Cricetulus griseus: one gene and its partners. The protein of the gene in region 1 interacts with the protein of each later gene in a pairwise test. Links are inferred from orthologs where the notes say so. Each region holds a gene or a part of one and is shown on either strand. Other genes may lie near its edges.

What was found.
Region 2: the proteins of Pcbd1 (region 1) and protein N-terminal glutamine amidohydrolase interact in binary tests that used the Homo sapiens proteins (3 or more experiments, as listed by UniProt). The two-hybrid records come from large-scale screens. The link is inferred for Cricetulus griseus from reciprocal best matches to the Homo sapiens genes PCBD1 and NTAQ1.
Region 3: the proteins of Pcbd1 (region 1) and Tff3 interact in binary tests that used the Homo sapiens proteins (3 or more experiments, as listed by UniProt). The two-hybrid records come from large-scale screens. The link is inferred for Cricetulus griseus from reciprocal best matches to the Homo sapiens genes PCBD1 and TFF3.

Annotation. Positions count from the first base shown.
Region 1 is NW_023276807.1:344,771-348,857, forward strand, and holds the start of Pcbd1 (pterin-4-alpha-carbinolamine dehydratase), read right to left. Parts: upstream 2,818-4,087; coding exon 2,764-2,817; intron 1,158-2,763; coding exon 1,026-1,157; intron 633-1,025; coding exon 552-632; intron 1-551. UniProt on the Homo sapiens protein: Involved in tetrahydrobiopterin biosynthesis. Seems to both prevent the formation of 7-pterins and accelerate the formation of quinonoid-BH2. Coactivator for HNF1A-dependent transcription.
Region 2 is NC_048603.1:29,479,136-29,482,705, forward strand, and holds part of protein N-terminal glutamine amidohydrolase, read right to left. Parts: intron 2,482-3,570; coding exon 2,382-2,481; intron 1,006-2,381; coding exon 955-1,005; intron 1-954. UniProt on the Homo sapiens protein: Mediates the side-chain deamidation of N-terminal glutamine residues to glutamate, an important step in N-end rule pathway of protein degradation.
Region 3 is NW_023276806.1:259,488,055-259,490,892, reverse strand, and holds the end of Tff3 (trefoil factor 3), read left to right. Parts: intron 1-2,181; coding exon 2,182-2,327; downstream 2,328-2,838. UniProt on the Homo sapiens protein: Involved in the maintenance and repair of the intestinal mucosa. Promotes the mobility of epithelial cells in healing processes (motogen).

The DNA.
Region 1 (4,087 bases):
GAACAGTTGTCCACAAGTTGTCCTCTGACTTGCACATGTACAGCACACATGTGCCCATATACTACACGAAACAAATGTTTAAAAACATGCTTTTAAAGACAAAGGTTAAAATCAGAACCAAAGGTGGGCTCCTAAACGCATCCTTCAGGTTTTTATAAACAGTTCAGCAGAACTCTTAGCATGTTCATAAGACAGTCTGATCTGCTGTTCGGTTTTGTTGCTCTCTCATTCTTCCATCTAGAATAAAGCCATTGGTGCTATTTAAAGTGGGTATGCCCTTCCTTTTGGCTTCCCTTCCTGGGGTTCACCTTCCTAATGCCTGGCCACAATCATTCAAAGTGTTTTTCTTTCCACTTATCAGCAGTGAGACTGGTTGTCTGTGGGGAGTCTCTGTTAGCTCTAGGAAGGGGATAGACAAAGTGGGCATCAACTTACTGGTAAGGAAAGACCCACAGTCAGGTCCAAATCAAACCTTCAGGAAGACTTGGGGTTCTGAGATGTACAAGGGCAAGGCAGGGCAGAACGGGGGCAAGTCGGGGAGCCTCACTCACCTTGTTGTACACATTAAACCACTCAGGGTGGTGGTCCAACTTTTCCGCCTGAAGGGCCACTCTTGTCATGAAGCCAAAAGCCTGATAAAAAGAAGGAAGACCCAGACCTTGTCATGGCCTAGATACAGGAGGATAGCCTAGCTTCTTCCAGAGACTTCTGGAGCTCTAGTCCTCTCCCCTGTGACATCCTGCCCCTGATCCTGAGGCCTGTGATAATGTTACTAACATCCTCTATGTGGTACAAACAGCACAGACTGTTAGTATTTGCCAGTTTTTTGCTGTTTATTGAAGTGCCTTCAGAAGGACATGTGCTTGTTATCCTTTGGAGAACTGTCCTTCAAGGACTTCGAGTTCCAGGAAGGCAGGGTCCAAGGCCCTTCTCTTTGCAGGTCACTTGGATATGTATTTCCCCTTGCCTAACAGGACATGGCATGAACACGGAGTGTGCCCTGGTAAGCCCCCAACTCCACATACCCTGTTGAAGTCTTTAAAATGGAACTGTTTGAAGATGGCATCCCGGCCTTCCAGTTCATTCCACCCCACAGCCCTCAGATTTGGCAGCAGCTGGTCCCGCTCCTCCGCACTCAGCCTGTGTGCCTTGCCAGCCTAGAATAGAGAACAGAGGCCCCGGGGCATTTCTATTATAGGTCAAGAACATAACCCAGACCTTTGGGAGGAATTCAACTGGTGCTGGCTGCGGTGGATATAAGCGCCCTGTAGCAAGCAACAGACGTATAGGTTTTCAGAGAAGTGTCCTGCCAGGAGGCGGGGTCTGGGCTGGTTTACTGATAGGCTCTTGGGTCCTATATTTGGTTTGGGGTTTTTTGTTTGTTTGGTTTTTGGTGTATGTGTTTGTGTGGGTGTGTGCATGTATGTGTGTAGAGGCCAGAGGAAAATGTCAGATGTCATTTCCAAGTATCATTTGCCTTTATTTTAATTAAAAATTGTTTCATTCAAATGTTTTATGTGTAAGGGTGTTTTAGTCTTCACATTCTGGTGCCTGAAGAGGCCAGAAGAGTGTGTGGAATGCCCTAGGACTGGAATCACATGTGAGCTGTCACGGGAGTGCTGGGAACCAAATCCAAGTCCTTTGGTTTAGAAGCCAGTATTCGTAACCACTGAGCAACTCTCTCCCCTTATTTTTTTAGACAAGTTCTCTCACCAAGTAGGCTAAGCTGGCCTGCATTGAGCCTCAGCGATCCATCTATCTCTGCCCCCCCAATGCTGGGATCATAAGTACAAACTAACATTGAAAAAGCTCTTCCTCAGGTAAGAAGACCTGTTCCAGGCCAGCACTGGGGCCTACAGACCCATCACTGGTATGTGTGCTCTCACAAACAAGGGGCTCCACCTCATCACTCTCCTGCACTGACAAGGGATGGTTGTAGAGAAGACAACAGAGATTTCACTGTGGTTAATCAGGAGGTCTTTCCAGATCTGGTCCTTCCGATGGTTGATAAGCTGGCCCCTTGTAATCACATATCAACCAGGTATCAACAGGGCACCAGAACCCACTGAGTTTTGTTTGTTTGTTTGTTCCTCCCAAAGGAGTGGTGAGTATAGGTGGACTGGTGGGGATGTAGGGAGGTGTGGGAGAGGATGGGGTGGTACTTTCTCATTAGAGTTTTCCAGAACCTCCAAGTCTTAGAATGACAGCGCTCTGAACTCTGGGGTCAGAAGGGTAAGGGCCTTGTTTGCTTAGCAAAGCTCTGTCAGCCTCTGGCAGTGTGGGCCCAGGGATTACTGATTATCCAAGCCTGTGTCTTTGGTCCCCAATGACCATTCCCAGGCCACAGCTGCCAAAATGCCTTCCCAATCCCCGACTGTTCCAAAGGAGGTGCACAGAACTGTGTTGTTTGGGAAGAGTTGCTGTGTCTAGCACCCCTTTCCAAAGGACCTGACCCATCTCCACACCCAGGTGGGACACAGAATTCCAGCTAGGTGCTAGGGCGGGGCGCGAGGCCGGGGACCGCACTGGGGTGCAGAGAGAACTGAGCCAGCAAGATCTAGCACCCCAAGGGACCAGCTAGCCTGTAGGGTCAGGACCAGGCCATGGAGATCCGCCTTCCTGCCACACCCAGCCGGAGCCCGCCAGCAGACAGGCCAGGCTCTAGTCTCTCCAGGCCTGCCACCGCTGCCACCTCCCCTATCGGCACCCCAGCACCCCTGAGGGCAAAGTGACCCTAGCCCGACGTGCCGACACTGCCCGCACCCTCAGCATCGGAGCCCTCGCCCCACTTCCCGATCCCCGCTTAGGGTCCGCCATACCTCCTGAGCTTACCATGTCCAGGGCGGGTAGCAGGTGGCGGCAGAGAGGGAAGGGAGAAGGAGAAGCAGCCGGCAAGCAGCAGGCCACCGCGGGGGCGGGGCAGAGATCCGGCCGCTGCTGGGTAATGATTAACGTGGGTCCTCCTTGCTCCACGCCCTTCCAGCGCTTTCTATGCCCTGGGCTCTGTGAGCATGGCTGCGTGATGGGCTCCAGGGCAAAGACTTTGGCTCCTCACGCTGCTGTCTGTCTGCTGGAGGACTCTGAGTGCCAGACGGCCTGACCTGTTGTTATAACAACGACAAAGACAAAAGCCACCCAGATAAATGTGACACACACTGAATTGCACAAAGGTAAAGTGCACCGTTGTAACCTTCCTGGCAGAAGAGAGGATATCTAAAGGGAGACACTGTGTCCCTCCACTGAACTTGTCAGACTATTGAAACAATGGACCCCCAGAAATCGAAATTGCCCTAGGAATCTTGTTAGGAGAAGGAAAAGGCTGAGATCTGGTGCCAGCCAGACGAGAAACCTGTCTACTAAAAAGATTTTATAGCATTCTGACAACTTGCCAGACCATGTTGAAGGTGACCAATCCTTCACTGCAACCGCTTAGTTAGGCATTCTCCTGCCCTCGAAGATGAACTTGAAGGATCCTGGACCTCTTGGCTTCTCTTCCCAGTGTGGCCGTATCGAATACAATCACCACCTTGTTCTGCATGCCACTGTTTTAATTTTCAAAACGATGTATGTATGTATGTATGTATGTATGTATGTATGTATGTATGTATTATGTATGTGTGAGTTCGTGTGTGTGTGTGTGTGTGTGTGTGTGTGTGAGAGAGAGAGAGAGAGAGAGAGAGAGAGAGAGAGAGAGAGAGAGAGAGAGAGTTTATGTGCACAGTATGCATGTGGGTGCTATGGAGGCCAAAAGGGAGCATTGGATCCCTTGGAAATGGAGTTACATGCTGTTGTCAGCTACCTGATATGGATGCTGGAAGCCAAATTCAGATTATCTGCATGAGCTGTAAGAGCTCTGAACCTCTGAGCCATCTCTCCAGCCCCTCTGCGATGACTTGTCTCTTTAGTTGGCACAGAGACAACAGGTGGCCGGGTCTGGCTTGTTAGGGCTGCCAGGGCCCAGGCTCTGACCCTAACAACTCCAGTATCAGGGTGAGACATATGCTTCTCTTAGGAAACCATAGATGAGGAGCATCAGCTCTGAAGTTTCCTTGTGCCACCTGGTACCCTCTTCTTTCAGGGCGGCTCC
Region 2 (3,570 bases), on another chromosome or scaffold:
TGCCTATACCTCCTGCCTAGCTACTGGCTAATCAGCTTTTTATGACACCAATCACAGCAATACAGCTTCACACTGTGTACAGATAGCCCACAAGTCTACCAACCCTACAGTCTACCAACTACAGTCTACCAATCCTATAGCCTACCAACTACAGTCTACTAATCCTACAGCCTACCAACCCTACAGCCTACCAACTACAGTCTAAACTACAGTCTACCAATCCTACAGTCTACCAACTACATTCTCCAATCCTACAGCCTACCAATCCTACAGCCTACCAACTACAGTCTACCAACTACAATCTACCAACCCTACAGCCTACCAACTACAGTCTAAACTACAGTCTACCAATCCTACAGTCTACCAACTACAGTCTACCAACTACAGTCTACCAACTACAGTCTATTAACTACAGTCTACCAATCCTACAGTCTACCAACTACAGCCTACCAATCCTACAGTCTACCAATCCTACAGTCTACCAATCCTATGAGGAAGGCATGATGGGAGTGACTGTTCATGGCAGCAGGAATACGAGACAATTGTTCCTCACATGACAACAGTCTGGGAGAACACAGGCTATAACCACAAGTAGGTACAACCTTCAAGGCCCATTCCCACTGACACGCTTGTACCAGCCAGGCCTCGGGTCTCAGAGGCTCCACAACCTCACAGAATAGATTCACCAGCTAGGGACCAGGAATTCAGACACAGAAGCCCGTAGAGGACTTTTCACACACAAACCATTATAGATCCCAAAACAAAAGTTAGACAACTATATGTCCACAGAGCTTCTGCCACAGACAGAATAACATCCATTCTCAAAAGATCCTTTTACTAATGACTGTCATGGCCTTTCTCTAGAGTCCTTTCAACTCTGCTTCACCACAGCATACTGGTTACTCAGAGGCCACAAGGAACACTGCATCAGAGGCTCTTAGGTGGCCAGCTTACCCAGATCACAGGTCCATTCCCAGGTCTTGCCTGCTGTTTCCAAATAGGTACCTACAAAACAGAGGACATTCGTGAGTCTCATTCAAACCCGTCTAGATTCTTTATACCACCAATACACTAGTAAGTAATAAACTATTCCTTAGTGGACTGGGGAGATGGGACAGCAGATCTCACACACTGGCCGCTCCTGGAGAAGACCTAGGATTGCTCCCAGCACCCACATGGCAACTCACACACTGGCTGCTCCTGGAGAAGACAGAATGCTCCCAGCACCCACATGGTAGCTAATAGACATCTCTAACTCCAGGTCCAAGGGATCCAAGCCCTTCTTCTGGCCTCTGCAGGCACAGTGCACACAAGGTACACAGACCTGTATGTAGGCAAAGCACCTGTAAACATTTTAAAAAATTAGCCAGGCATAGTTGCACATGCCTTTAATCCCAACACTCAAAAGCAGAGGTAGGTGGTCCTCTGAGTTTGAAGCCAGTCAGGGATACATAGTGAGACCCAATTTCAGGATAAATAGATAAATTAAGTTAAATTCTGAAGTCAAAAACGTTTCTGTTTCTAAGCAATCAAGGTGAAAGAATAAAATCTAAACCCTACGCGCAGGCACCCTGCACAGTGAGAGTTCACAAGAACTGAAGATACTGCAGTGTTCTCCAGAGAGCAAGGGGCCTGCACCAGGAAGCAGAGGCCAGGCGGGGTCAGTCCTCAGTTACTCATGAGCCCTCTCTGCATCTCATCTTCTTCACGGATTAGGTGGAGAAAGTTAGCAGGTCACGGAGGCTCGTGCCTGAAATCCCAGCCTCAGCTATGTGATGACTGTGAAGCTAGTGGGCTGAGATACATGCGACCCGTCTCCAAAACAAAAGTAAAGTCAATAAAGTAAAACAGAGAAAGTCGTTTAGACCCTGCCTATTTCATAGAACTTCTAAGAGCCCCGAATGAGGCAACGTCCACAAAAGTGTTTGGAAATCCCAAAGGGCTACTTCTAATGCTCCCTGAAAGTTTACTCCAGCTCTATTCAAACTTCAGACACAAATCTTTACTTCAAATCAGAGTTATATGGCTTAATTATACAATTAAAAAAGCCCCAAGCTAGACACAGAGCATGCCTATAAACCCAGTACTCAGAGGGTCCCCACAAGTTTGTGCCCAGCGTGGTCTACACAATGGGTTCCAGGTCAGCCAAGGTCTACACTATGAGACTCTGTTGCAAAAAGCAAGTTGCTTGTGCATTCTACATAAACATGCCATTACATACTTCATTACCTACAAGCAAGGGACCAAATTCTCCTGAACCAAATCTAATGAAGAAAAAGAAAGCTGTTTGAAAGGCTGCTGTTACAAAGCACATTTGAGAACAGAATAGCTTCCAGACTGCGCTGAGCTTCTGATGTCACCGCCATCACTCACCAACTTACCATCTTCTTCTCATTTGATATGAAGACAGCGGAACACTCTTCCAAGGGATACTGGTCATGGGTTTTGATGTATTCACAGAGCTTCCAAATGTTCTCCTCGCTAAAATAAAATAATTGTTTAATCCATATCATTGGAAAGGACCTTAACCACCTCATCAGAGAGCTGGGTAACAGTGACTCTCCTCTAAGGCACAGTCAACAAGCTGCTAGCCAACCTGTACTGTGCACGCATCCAGACAGAGGACCACACCCACTGAAGACTATGACCTGTAAAAGAGTGTGCCAGGATTCCAGAAGCTGAGAAACCATTGGGATCCAAACTCAACACTAACAAGAAAAGCAGCTTTGTATTCTGTCTTCTCTAAGAACCGCTTGTCTCCTCTATAAAATGCACGTTTTCACGTACACCATAACCCTCCAGAAATCCCAATTAATAGAGAAATGTCACAGGACTTTTTTGTTTGGTTGTTTTGGTTATCAAGACAGGGTTTCTCTGTGTAACTGACCTAACTATGCTGGAACTCTCTCGGTAGACCAGGCTGGCCTTGAATTCAGAGATCTGCCTGCCTCTGCCTCTGGAATGTTGGGCTTAAAGGCGTGCACCACCACCGCCAAGCTCTTGACAGAATGTTTTAAATTAGATTTGATATAGAATTTAGTCCCTTAGTTGTAGCTGACAAACTATATGATGGCATCTTTATGCAGACTGCGTCCCCTCCTTCCCTCCCTCCCTCCCTCTCTTCCTTCCTTCCTCCCTTTTTGAGACAAATGTCTCATAATGTAGACCTTGGCTGACCTGGAACTCGATGTGTGGACCAAACTGGCCACAAACTTGTGGTGACCTTTTGAGTACTTGTGAACTACAGGCACGCTCCATGTGTGGTTTAGAGCCTTGTTAATTGCATAATTAGAGACAGACAGACATGAGAGACATACATACACACACTACATACATACATGCATGCATGTTTCCAAGCACTCAACGTCAAGGTGAAGGCGTGTGAAGCCCGCTCCTAAGCGCAGGCACCCTGCACAGTGAGAGTTCACCAGAACTGAAGATACTGCAGTGTTCTGCAGAGAGCAGGGGGCCTGCACCAGGAAGCAGAGGCCAGGCGGGGTCAGTCCTGTCCTTCCCATGAGATCTCTCCAAATCTTTCCTTCTTCACCGATTAAGTGGAGAAAGTCAGCA
Region 3 (2,838 bases), on another chromosome or scaffold:
TCCACACACACACACACACACACACACACACACACACACACACACACACACACACGGTGGAAACTGGTGTGAAGCAGAGTCACCATGGAGCTGTGGCACTGGACTGATTTTGAGCCTGTTTTTATCAAACATCTATAGTTCCTTGTCACCTGACATGCTCACAGCAGATCAGTGGACAGATGACTGTGCTTGTGCCCTTGTTCCTCCCTGCTCTCCTGCCTCTCTTACCCTCTCTAGGAAGGGAGGGTGTTGCAAGACAAATACCCTGAGAATCGCTGGGTTAGGTCATGTGCAAACAGCAGATGTCCAGGCACATGGGTGTCTTGCCAACCCTGTTTTACCCAAGCCTAACCCACCACATCTTAGTGGGGCACCTACTGTGAGCCATCTGTCACAACCAAATGCTGGCTCACCTTCTAAGAGGTCACATCTCTACAAGCCACCTTCCTGGGCTGGCACCCAAAGAGGCCAGATGTGCACTACGGCCTGGTAACAGACTACAGTGCCCCAGCTGAATGGAGGTGTGCCATGGGCAGGCTCCTCTCCTTCAGCAGAGCCAGGGGAGGACTGAGGATAGTCAGAGGCAGTGGCAGGAGCTGGCCATTGCCCAAAGATTGGCAGGTCACTTGGCTCTGGCTCCCTTCCAGGTACTATCTCACTACCCCTGCAAGGACCACCAGAGGTCCAATTATCTTGCTTGGTGATGCCAGCAAGGATGCACAGTGCCTCTTGCAGGCTTTGGAAGGTTCACATTGCCCGGTGACTCCAGAAGAAGGCAGCCAGGTGCTGGTCTTGTAAGCCAGGCAACCCTGGTGGGGATGACCCATTCACCTTGACCTTTCTTTTCTTCCCAGAATGCACATTTTGAAGCAATCCAAGCTCTGGGAAGGAAGCTCTGCACCCTGGACCCCTGCAGGAGGTGTGGCTGAGGGCAGCACTCATCCCTGCTCTGCTCTCTCTGCTGCTGGCCATTATAAGAGCCTGGAGTCCTGAAGAATAAAGACCCCACACTCAGCACAAGGCTGCTCTGATTGCTGAGACCTCTGCTCTTGTGTATATTTCTGTCATTCTTGGGGTGTTGGTGGTGAAGGGTCACATTACACTCAGGACAGGTTATCTCAGGGTCATGGGGAACTGACCCTAAGTTCCTGCAACACACTGAGAGCCAGAGCCTCCAGCCAGGAGCCCTCAAGGCAAGCTTCTGAGTTCCCTCTATTGCTGTGATGAAACACTCTGAGATAAATCAACTCTGGGGAGGAAGGGCTTATCTGGCTGACCCTTCCAGGTCACAGTCCCATCACTGAGGGAACTCAAGCAGGAACTTGAAGCGGAAACCAGGAAGGATGCCTCCTGCTGGCAATCTTGGTCTCCTGCTCAGTTGACTTGCTTATAAATCCCAGAGATGGTGTGACCCAAGGTGGGCTGTGCTCCTCCTCCTCCTTCCTCCTCCTCCTCATCTTCCTCCTCCTCCTCCTCCTTCTTCTTTTTTTTTCTTTTTTTTGGTTTTTCAAGACAGGGTTTCTCTGTGGCTTTGGAGGATGTTCTGGAACTAGTTCTTGTAGACCAGGCTGGTCTTGAACTCACAGAGATCCTCCTGCCTCTACCTCCCAAGTGCTGGGATTAAAGGCATGCACCACCAATGCCCGGTGGGGGTTGTGCTCTTCTACATCAATGAACAAGACAGACAATCCCTGCCCCAGTCCCAGGAAGGCCCATCTGATGTCAAAATGCCCTCAGCTGAGACTGCTTTCACATGTGACTCTAGACTATCAAATTGAGTTAGAGCTAACCAGGACAGCAGGCAGGTAGATCCTTCAGCAGCACATTTTCTCTTTAAGCTGAGAAGGTAACAAACCAACCAACCAACAAACAAAAAACATCCCTCCTACAAGATTTACAAATCCTTTACATCTTTCTTATTAAGAAAGCATACTATGAAAAGCACCTACTATTCTGTCCTTGTCTGTATTCATCTATTTAACATCTGCCTCACTACAGGTGCACCCTGCTTTTAATAGGCACAGAACAAGGGTCTGCATCTCACATCCCTACCCAGTGCCTCAGCTGTTTGGTCCCCCACCTTCATTTCCTTGTGTGTCTTTCTCTGCGCCCACTGTGGGATTTCGAGTTTGGAGGCTCCTGCTTGTGCTGCATGGCTGATCCTTAGCTCGGCTCCCACAGGGCACCCTCTGGAGGCCACATCATCCATGCTACTCTATGTCCCAATTACACAGCACAGGGGCCAGAAAACATTGCTTCTCGATGAGCTGGGGTTCCATGGTTTCTTCTCCTTGGAAAAGGCCTTGGTCCCCGTGCACTTGGAATGATGACTCAATGTGATCTTTGGGAATTGAAAAGCCCCAAATCAGCTTTTCACATAGAAAGCCTATCAGACTGACGGGTAGAGTGACTGTCACACCCCAGATGCACAAGGGAAACAGTAGGTATCCAGCCCTCATAAGACAGCAAAGTCTGGAGACAGATGTTTGAGCCTGTATGATAGGCAAAGCCCCCTGTCTTTCTGGCACCTATTTGCTTTTATAAAGATTTATTGGGAGCAGGGCCAGTATTACAGTGTCCAAGTGGGACACTGTTATCCAAGTGCAGAATTTTGACACTTTGTTTGTTGCCTCTCTCTGCATTACTTTTGATGTTTTAAATGCTGATATCTAACTTGATGGCTGGTTTTCTGTACATTTCCATGCAAGGTGAATAGTTTACATAGCACTTCAGCCTAGTCCCTACCCTGCTTAGTGACCTTGGACTTGGGAACTCCCACCTTCAGAGCTCTGGGCAGCACATCAGAAGTGAAGTGTCACTGCCCTAGGCTCAAATATA